Caenorhabditis elegans: one gene and its partner. Changing the gene in region 1 together with any one later gene gives a genetic interaction. Each region holds a gene or a part of one and is shown on either strand. Other genes may lie near its edges.

The links.
Region 2: of arf-5 (region 1) and ksr-1, changing one enhances a phenotype caused by changing the other (phenotypic enhancement), as found in Caenorhabditis elegans (one large-scale study listed by BioGRID).

What each region holds. Positions count from the first base shown.
Region 1 is NC_003282.8:7,980,284-7,984,375, forward strand, and holds arf-5 (ADP-ribosylation factor), read left to right. Parts: upstream 1-2,242; 5' UTR 2,243-2,261; coding exon 2,262-2,312; intron 2,313-2,362; coding exon 2,363-2,459; intron 2,460-2,586; coding exon 2,587-2,711; intron 2,712-2,759; coding exon 2,760-2,942; intron 2,943-3,104; coding exon 3,105-3,191; 3' UTR 3,192-3,569; downstream 3,570-4,092. Other genes in the region: unc-24 (Band 7 domain-containing protein), read left to right, coding at 24-99, 488-583, 639-788, 835-999, 1,045-1,665; mec-17 (Alpha-tubulin N-acetyltransferase 1), read right to left, coding at 3,731-3,960, 4,034-4,092.
Region 2 is NC_003284.9:8,272,906-8,278,175, forward strand, and holds the start of ksr-1 (Kinase suppressor of Ras A), read left to right. Parts: upstream 1-2,263; 5' UTR 2,264-2,313; coding exon 2,314-2,419; intron 2,420-2,461; coding exon 2,462-2,532; intron 2,533-3,173; coding exon 3,174-3,350; intron 3,351-4,504; coding exon 4,505-4,595; intron 4,596-5,270. UniProt on the Caenorhabditis elegans protein: Serine/threonine-protein kinase which positively regulates Ras-mediated signaling probably acting at the level of let-60/ras or/and lin-45/raf. Involved in sex myoblast migration.

The DNA of each region.
Region 1 (4,092 bases):
ATCACTATTCAATAATTTTTCAGGCAAGGAATGATGCTGGGAAATAAATACGGAAACTTCACATACACAAGAGATTATGGTGTTAATATGGAAGACGATGTGAGTTTTTATTTAATAAATTAAATTTTGGTTTTCTTTATCAAAACTTAATGTGAAATTGAGCCATTTAGGAAATTATTTGATAGTAAAACTTTGAATTGGTTTTTTTGAAATATTTTTATTTTCAGTAAATAAAAAAGTTGAAATTACTCGGTTGTTGAAATTCGCCAAAAAATGTTCTACAATTACTATGATTTTTTTCCATCTGAGCATTGTAGGCATTTGAACAAGCAACAGTACTCTAAATTTCTTAAAAAGCATACATTTTTTGCAGATTTTGGCAAAATAGAAACCTTAACAAAAATGGAAATATCTAAACTAATTGAAACACACACGAGACAATTTAATTAAAATATACTTATGATATCTTAAACATGTTTTTTTTCAGATAAAACCCCTGAGCGCCATTGAACTGTTGATCTTCTGTGTTTCATTTTTGTTTGTTGTGATGACAATGCCCTTATCATTGCTTTTCGCGTTAAAGGTAGTAATTATAATTTTCTAGAGAACCGTTTCTCAAAATTTGCTTAATTTTTCAGTTCATCTCTACCAGTGAGAAATTGGTAGTTTTACGCCTGGGAAGAGCTCAGAAGACAAGAGGACCTGGTATAACTTTAGTTATTCCATGTATAGATACAACACATAAAGTAACAATGTCTATTACTGCGTTCAATGTCCCACCACTCCAGGTTAGCCTTGACAATATTTTGTCTAAAAAAAAATTTTAATTTACAGATAATAACCACAGATCGTGGTCTCGTGGAACTCGGGGCAACTGTTTTTCTAAAAATTAGAGATCCAATTGCAGCTGTTTGTGGAGTTCAAGATAGAAATGCATCAGTTCGAACATTGGCAAATACAATGCTATACAGATATATCAGCAAGAAACGGATCTGTGATGTAACCAGCTCACAAGATCGAAGAATAATTTCTGCTAATTTGAAGGATGAGCTGGGATCATTTACGTGTCAATTCGGAGTTGAAATCACTGACGTGGAAATTTCCGATGTGAAAATTGTGAAGGAAGGAGAGAACATGGGGATGTCTGCGTTGAGCAGCGTTGCGAAATCCGATGCTGGTCAACAGTTGTGGCAAGTTATTGGACCAGTATTCGAAGACTTTGCAAAGGAATGTGCAGCTGAAGAGAAAGCAAAAGAAAATGCACCATTAGTTGATTTGTCGGATGTTCCCTCAACTTCAGCTGCGGGAACTTCTACAGATACACCAAATATTCCTTCCATTGATATCGACCATCTTATATCTGTGGCAAGCCTAGCTATGGATGAACACTTAGTCCGTCTAATTGGCAGAGTTTTCCAAATTAATTGCAAAGATATTGAGCCCATTTGCATTGATTTGAAACATGGATCTGGAAGTGCGTATAAAGGAACTTCCTTAAATCCTGACGTGGTTTTTGAAACGAGTTTGGAAGTATTTGGAAAAATTCTAACAAAGGAAGTATCTCCAGTCACTGTATATATGAACGGAAACTTAAAAGTGAAAGGAAGTATTCAGGACGCAATGCAGCTAAAACACTTGGTGGAGCGAATGTCAGATTGGCTTTAAGAAAATATACTCATTTTCTGTTCTCTTTTTTCTCTTTAATAAATGTTTTTTTTTTAATTTAAAGATTTACACTATATTTTCTTGTCTTTCAGATATTATTTTGTACAGGAATGTTTTGTTTTTAAAGTAATATTATCTAAAATACATCCAGTCACTTAAAATTGTACAAAACAGGCTTTTGTGCGACGAATAAGCGGCCAAATCGAGAGATCTCATCGAGAAATAAATGCATTCTTCAAGGGAGGGCGCGTTTTCTGGCTGACGGGTCTCGCCACGATCGACTAATCGAAATTACACGTGTGTGGCTGGCTGGACGACATCCAGCAAATCGACGTTGCTATTGCCGATTTTTACCAAATTTTCTGGATTTTCATCATTATTAATAAATTTTCAAAATATTTAATGTTTGAAATGGATATATTTCTTGTAAAAAAGCTTTAAAATGGCTATAAAGACGAACAAAATAATTGTTTTTTGAATGAACGTGTCACATGCTTTGGAGTGTTATGTATTTTTCTTTTACTATCGTTTTTTTTAAATTCTAACTGGAAATTTGTTTTAAATTATATAATTTCAGGTGTTGAATCAGCTCCATTATGGGTTTAACAATCTCCTCCCTCTTCAATCGCCTTTTTGGCAAGAGACAGGTATGTTTTTGTAATGCTTAATCTCACAGTTTTAATGTGTTAATTTTAAGGTTCGTATATTGATGGTCGGACTCGATGCTGCCGGAAAAACTACGATCCTCTACAAACTCAAGCTTGGAGAGATCGTCACCACGATCCCAACTATCGGTAAGTATTTCAGGAAAATATTTGCATTTTTCGAATCAATGGTTATTGCAAAAGAGTCGCAAGTTCTATAATATGTGTGTTTTTCAGTATTTCATAATTCGTAAAAATTAATAATCTGATATTACAGGATTCAATGTTGAAACTGTTGAATACAAGAACATTTCCTTCACTGTGTGGGATGTCGGAGGTCAGGACAAGATCCGTCCACTCTGGAGGCACTATTTCCAAAACACACAAGGACTTATCTTCGTCGTAAGTATTCGAATCGATTTATAAATCTAAAATATTTTAAAAATTAAGGTTGACTCGAACGACAAGGAGCGTATTGAAGAATCACGTGAAGAGCTACATAAGATGCTGAACGAGGACGAACTTCGTGACGCTACTCTTCTCGTTTTCGCCAACAAGCAGGATCTTCCAAATGCTATGACCGCCGCCGAATTGACCGACAAGCTTGGACTTCACAATCTCCGCTCAAGACAGGTGAGTGGTATTCGAGATTCCGTTCTCTGTTTAGTCTTATCTGCATAGACGATCAAAATTTGAAACCGGACAAGCGTATTAATCTGATCGAATAAAAGATTGTCCACTCACGGAATAAATAAAATTGTTTCCAAATTTATAATGTAAATGAAAAATTTTCAGTGGTACATCCAAGCTACATGTGCAACTCAAGGACATGGACTCTACGAAGGACTTGACTGGCTATCCAACCAGCTTTCCAAGACCTAATTGCACAACTTACATGTCCAAATTCCCTTCTCCTCCAAAATGTGTAAATCCCTTTCCCCCATTAAAATATTCTTAACCAACAGCCACAATAATCCACGCAGCCGTTTTAATTTTGTTAAATAGAATTTGATTGTTTGATGGCACTGGGAGCTTCTATTTTCTGTGTGTTATTGGTACCCATCTCTCTCTCTCTCTCCGTCCCCCCAACTTCAAATCGGCCCGAGCCCTGTCCTAATTTATGTGATATTTGGCCGTCTTTTTTGGTCAAACTCTCCGAAACCACCACTGTGAACTAGTCGGAGAGCAATCGATGGCTGGTCCACTTCATCGCAACAGTTTAATTTATTTGAGGGTGTTGATGAATAATATTTTATAAAAACATGTAAGTGTGGTGGATGTTCATTTTTATTTATCGGAAAGAACGCTAAGTTTAATAAATTTCGAATTCCAAAAAAAGCATGAGAGCGAGATTAAACAGATGGCACAAAATTGCATAAAGTAATTAAAAGCTGAAAATAACTTCAATGTCCACATCCGAATCACCACAATGGCTTGCTCGACAGAATGTGAGCTTTTCTTGCCTTGGCCTGATGAGCTCTATTGCTCAAAGCACCTTGTGGTGTCATGTCAGCATCCACCGGAGCAGCCATTGCATTTCCCTTGCTCTGATGACCACTAACAGCGTGTTGAAGCCAACGGGTATCAGTCATTCCAGTTCCCAATCGACGTGGAGTCATTGGACGACGCCAACCATCTGGTGGAGGTTTTTCTGAAACGTCCAATAGTTTAATTTCAGTGAAGTTAGAATTTTTGTGGTCAAAATACTATTCTACTAAAATTACCGATTCCATTTTCAGCCGACAAAGCTAGGAAGAGCTCCTCGAAAACAACGAAATTGGTA
Region 2 (5,270 bases), on another chromosome or scaffold:
TATATTAGTTGTATATTTTGTGTTTTCTTTTTTTCTATTAGTGTTCCGCTCAATTACTTTATTTTGACAAGTTATGTCTTGAATCGATTTCTAGTTTTCCGAAAATGGACAATTAAAAGTATGTAGATAAAGATACTGTACATTTTTGTTTGATAACAATTTTCCATAAAATTAAAAAATAAACAAGCTATGGGTTTCCAAATGTAAACAGACTGAGACAATACTAATAGAGAAAACAGGAGAATTTTAGTAAATGTCCATTCGAAAAACCGAAATTGGTTGCCTGTCAATGCACATCCAAATTCACGTCTTTTATCATAAAATTTGTAATAAAGGACTAAAATCAATGAATAGTGATAGTTCAACAAAAAATGTTTGTTGTCCGCTGCGACGCGTATAAATTTGTAAACTTTAAATTTTTCTGCTAAATACAATCGGTTTTCATTTTAAACAGCATTTTTTGAGAAGTCTCTTTTTAAAACACAGTCTAAACATTTTGGTCCATTAGTCGTCTTTTAAAACGTAATTGCTATTACTTCAGTACTTATATTTTACCCTAATTTTTGGCTAACTTTACCATAGTTTTTGGCACGTTCAACAAACTACCCATAATTACTTTCAAAATTTTCATCGAGCAGGAACAACATTTTTAATGTTGACTTTGCCGAGATGTTACACTAAATTAGTTGTGATCTGCCAGCAAACCAGGAACTAAAAGCTTGTTCAATGCATTCCTGGTATGAATCTTGACCTACTCTTAAGTTGATTACGCAACATTTTGAACACCTGTTGTGGTCTTCTCATTGCGGACCATTTTCTCTCACCCCATAGACATACAGTCTCCTCTCTCTCTTATTCATACACTATTCCCCCCATCCTCCCGTCTTCCCGACATTTTTGCGTCCTTTCCTACTATTCCTACTGTCAATCCACACCGTTCTCCCCTTTTCTCTTCATCACGTTCAAACAGTTTGTTTGCTTGCACGCCGATCTTTCTTCCTCTTTCTCTTTCCACAACTCTCAGCATTCTAGCATTATTTTCTCCAATATATTGAACAGTATTTGAATGCAACGTTTCTTTTAACTTCCGACCAAAGCCTTATGGCAATTTTTTCTCACAACTACTCTTTTCGGTCGGCATTGCTTAATTTTTAAGCGCCATACTGTTGTTCGGTATTTCATGTGAAAGCGAAAAATTAAAAAAGAAAGAAAAGTTAAGCTTCCTAATTTTTGTATTTGTGGTAGTTTTAATACGCAAAGCTAGGAAAATGTAAAACTCAAATTGATAAACTATAATTACTTAGGAGTGATGATAAAGGATAATCGATTTTTTAAGTGAAATAGTTGAATATTTCTACTCAATAAAAAAACACATTTAATATTGGTAGAGTACAATTATTGGATTTGGAACAGTATTCTAATTAAAGAAACAAAAGAAGCCAAAATAAAAGTAGAATGCCATTGAAAAAAATCGGGACATTGTGATGTAATAAGTCTAATCTAACCACCGGAAAAGAAAATGTGGTCGAAAATACCAATTCTTCTTTTCTTCTCGTCACTTCTAAATTGAGTAATGTACATAACCTGTCTCATAATTGTTCGCCACGCAACCTTCACAATTTCGATGGCAGAAAGCCGCCGAAAGCTTTTAATTTACTTTCCGGACGATTTCGACTTTTCTAGAAGGTTAATACACACCTTTTTTGAGTAGATGATGTTGTAATAGTAAACAAACTGTAAGCATACTTATATTGGTCATCGCAATTTGACTTTGAATTGTAAACATCCAATTGTGATGGAATTTGTAGGAAGAAAATATTGTAGATTTTACTAACTCATGAATTGAAATTTCTGACTGTACTGTGGGGCATACACATATTTTCTCTAATTGTCTTGCTCCCTTACAGTACGAATGCAAACCATACTAACAGAAAAAACTCGGCACTTTTCAATATTACTTGCTCGTTTGCTTTTCTAGTCATTTAACGCCTTTCTAAAGCACCAAATACATTCGTATTGCCCTGCTCCCACTACCACACATACATAAACGAAGGATGAGCTCACAGGGAGCCATTTGATAATTGCGACGACACACACACATACACAAAATGAGAAACCAAGCAAAAAAGAGTGTGGCGCACGTGTGAGCTCACAGCGTGCTCCGTTTGCACCGGGGATTTCCAAAAGTTGACCAAAAACCAGCACTGTTTTTTCTTGGCAACCTTTTGAACGTTGTGCTCAACCAACGAAAGATTTATTTCAGGGAAAAGATCCGGAGAAGGTAAAAACTAACCAATAATATCAATACACAGAATGATGCAAACCCAAGTTGCATCACGTGCGGGATACAGTAATCTACCGCAGTTTGGTGCAGGAATCGCACAGGATATAAAGACACAGGCTATAAATAATTTGAAGGGTTAGTAAAAAAAATTTAAAAAAAAACAATTCGAAGTTGCAGAATGTTTGAAACTTACCACTATCAATCGATTTTTGACTTCATCATACGAAGAAGATGCAAAAAGTGTAGAAGTAAGTTTTTTTGAAAAAAAAACAACTTTTGTAAAAATTCAAACTTCTCCTATTCGTGAGCATCGTTGTTTTATAAACTGTAAATAAATGAATTCAAGACAGACTAGTCTTCATTCAGCAGAAAAAATTTTTAAGATGCTTTAAAGTTTTGTTCATAAAATACACTATACATATATTGACACCTCAGTCCAAATTGTTTTAGATCTTTGTGGTAAACCAATCTGTGGTACTAAACGTTTTTCTAGACGTTTTCCGTTTATACTGTAAAGTTTATTTGTATAATTAAATTCTATAATGGTATTTTGATAATAAATTTAAAAAATTAAAAATTTAGATGCACAACTTCGTGCATGAAACGCTAATCGTTATATTTGAAAAACTGAAACTTACTTTCAAACAAATGTTGATTTTCAAATGTTTTAAATTTAGTGAGTTTATGATATTTTGAATATGAAAAAATATCAAAATATCAAAGCTTTTAAAAAATAGATTTAAAAACTTTAAGTGAATGTAACTCTTTTTTTCTACGAATTTTAGTAATCAAGATATCAGAGACAGATGAAAAGGTGAAACAACCTGAAACAAATGGTCTGAAATCTTTCATTGACGTCAACTAAATTCCAATGATTCTCAATTTACAGCGCAAAATATTCTCGGCCGTTTATCAAATGACAAAAATTGGTTTGATTGATCGCGAGAAGCGTGAGATCAACGCCATTTGGTTCACATTTGTCGGGCTCAGCGCACAAAACATTCGGCACTTGGAGATTTGCTCGATCACCGATTTCAATGCTCTGTTCAGCATCACTAACCAAGAGGTTTGATCCTTCTCTTTTTTGCTCTACCTTTTCTCTCTTTTCTCACACATCATTTCCTGATTTTACACCTAACAGAAACATACAAACACTCACAAATCGGGTTCTAGGCATATCTATATCCTTCTAAATGTCTTTCTGCTGATTCGGGTCACAACCTTCAACATTATCGTTTTATTCTTAAACTTCTTTTCATTTCCCTCTACGCTTCCCATTGGTTTGGGGTGTTTGGGAGTGCGCTTTGACGCTCTTTCCCTCTCGTTTTTCCGTTTCTGTTTCCGTCTCTTCTTTCTTTCTTTTCACCTTCTACTTTCTGCATTTCTCTCCTTTCCTTTCCCACTCTTCTCTTTCTCTAGAGGCCAGAAAACTGCAGCTCTCTCCGTTTTTTTCCTGATTTTTGTGAGCTAATTTGTTATCCAAAAAAAGAAGAGTAAACAGAAAAAGAGGATTAGGTTAATTGTTACCTATTGATATTCTGCTCATTGTTGTTTTTTAAGACTCACGAACTTTCTCTCAGCTAGCACATGCATAAGTCATGTATCTGACTGATTTTTATCATCTCATTTCGTAATTGTTTGAATTTGAGTTTCGACTTTTCATTTAGTCATTTTGCAGCAGGAAGTGTTTTTCGAAATGAAATTTGTCTTACTTTTATCTGACAAATCAACTAGTTTGGTAATTTTTCAGATTTAAAAATTTCCTTTTTTTCATTGAAGATTTTTTTAAAACTTGATTTGTCAAATTTTTTAAGATAACTTTACCATTTAATTTACAACAACATTGAACAAATCAATTGTTAAATTTGAATTCGAAACAAAACTTGAAAACTTCAAGTGGCCTTTCATATGATAATTGGCCAAAATATTAGAGTTGATTTTGAATGAATGTTTTTTGTGAGAACAACTATGCTGAAGCATTTCTGGAACATTCATTGTTTTTAGCGATCCAAAGCATACACGTTTTTGTTTTTTTGCATTGCCTCCGTATACTCGGTAACGTCATTCGTGTTCCAACAACACCTGTTACATTTCTACGAGTTGTTTTCACTCTTGTCTGCATGTTATCAAACTTCTATTGCTCGTTTCATTACTTTTAACCGAGTTTCTCTGTGCTCCGCCTTCTGAACATTTGAACCCAAACATAAAAGTTTATTTCAGTTGCGATCGCTTGCGGATCGTGGTCGTCTTGATGTGGAGACCAAACGAAAGTTGCTTCAATCTACAGTGATTTTACAAAATCACTGGAACGGTAAGTGTGCGGCAATTTGAAAATTTGTATTAAGTAAAATGTAGAAGAAAATAATTCTTGCCACGAAAATTTTGCAACTGTTATTTTTTGAAAATGTTCTCAAAATTCCTTACTTTTCTAGTTATTTTCATAAAAATTTATAGTCTCAAAACCAGTAATTTGACATTTTTTAATCAAACTTTAAAATTTAACTTTAATCAATCCCGAGATGGTAACTGCAAAATTAAAAAAAAACAAGACGGTTTTTATTAAAACAATTTTGAAGCATATTTTATACTGAGTTTGCTCCACTTCTTGAAAATTTAAATCACTGTCAAATGTTCAAACCCCATACATTTTAAAATTTGAATATTTTGAATGTAATTGAAATAAAAAATGGAAAATTTTATGATGGAGGACTTCCGCAAAAACTGGTGACCATTTAGTATTGAGCTTTTTGATTTTAAATAAAAAAAACTTTCCAAAGTTTTTGGAATAATTTTATTATGGTATATTTGATTATTTTTGTACCATAGGAATGGTTTTGAAAAACTTCCCCCGCAGATCGGAGTCCGCCTTCAAACGTCGTTTTCGGTTTATTTGTTAATTTTAGAATTAATACTTTAAGCAGCCTGAGAATTAAAAAATCAACCTTATTCTTTTATTCAAATTAAAATTTTTAAAATGTAGTGTAAT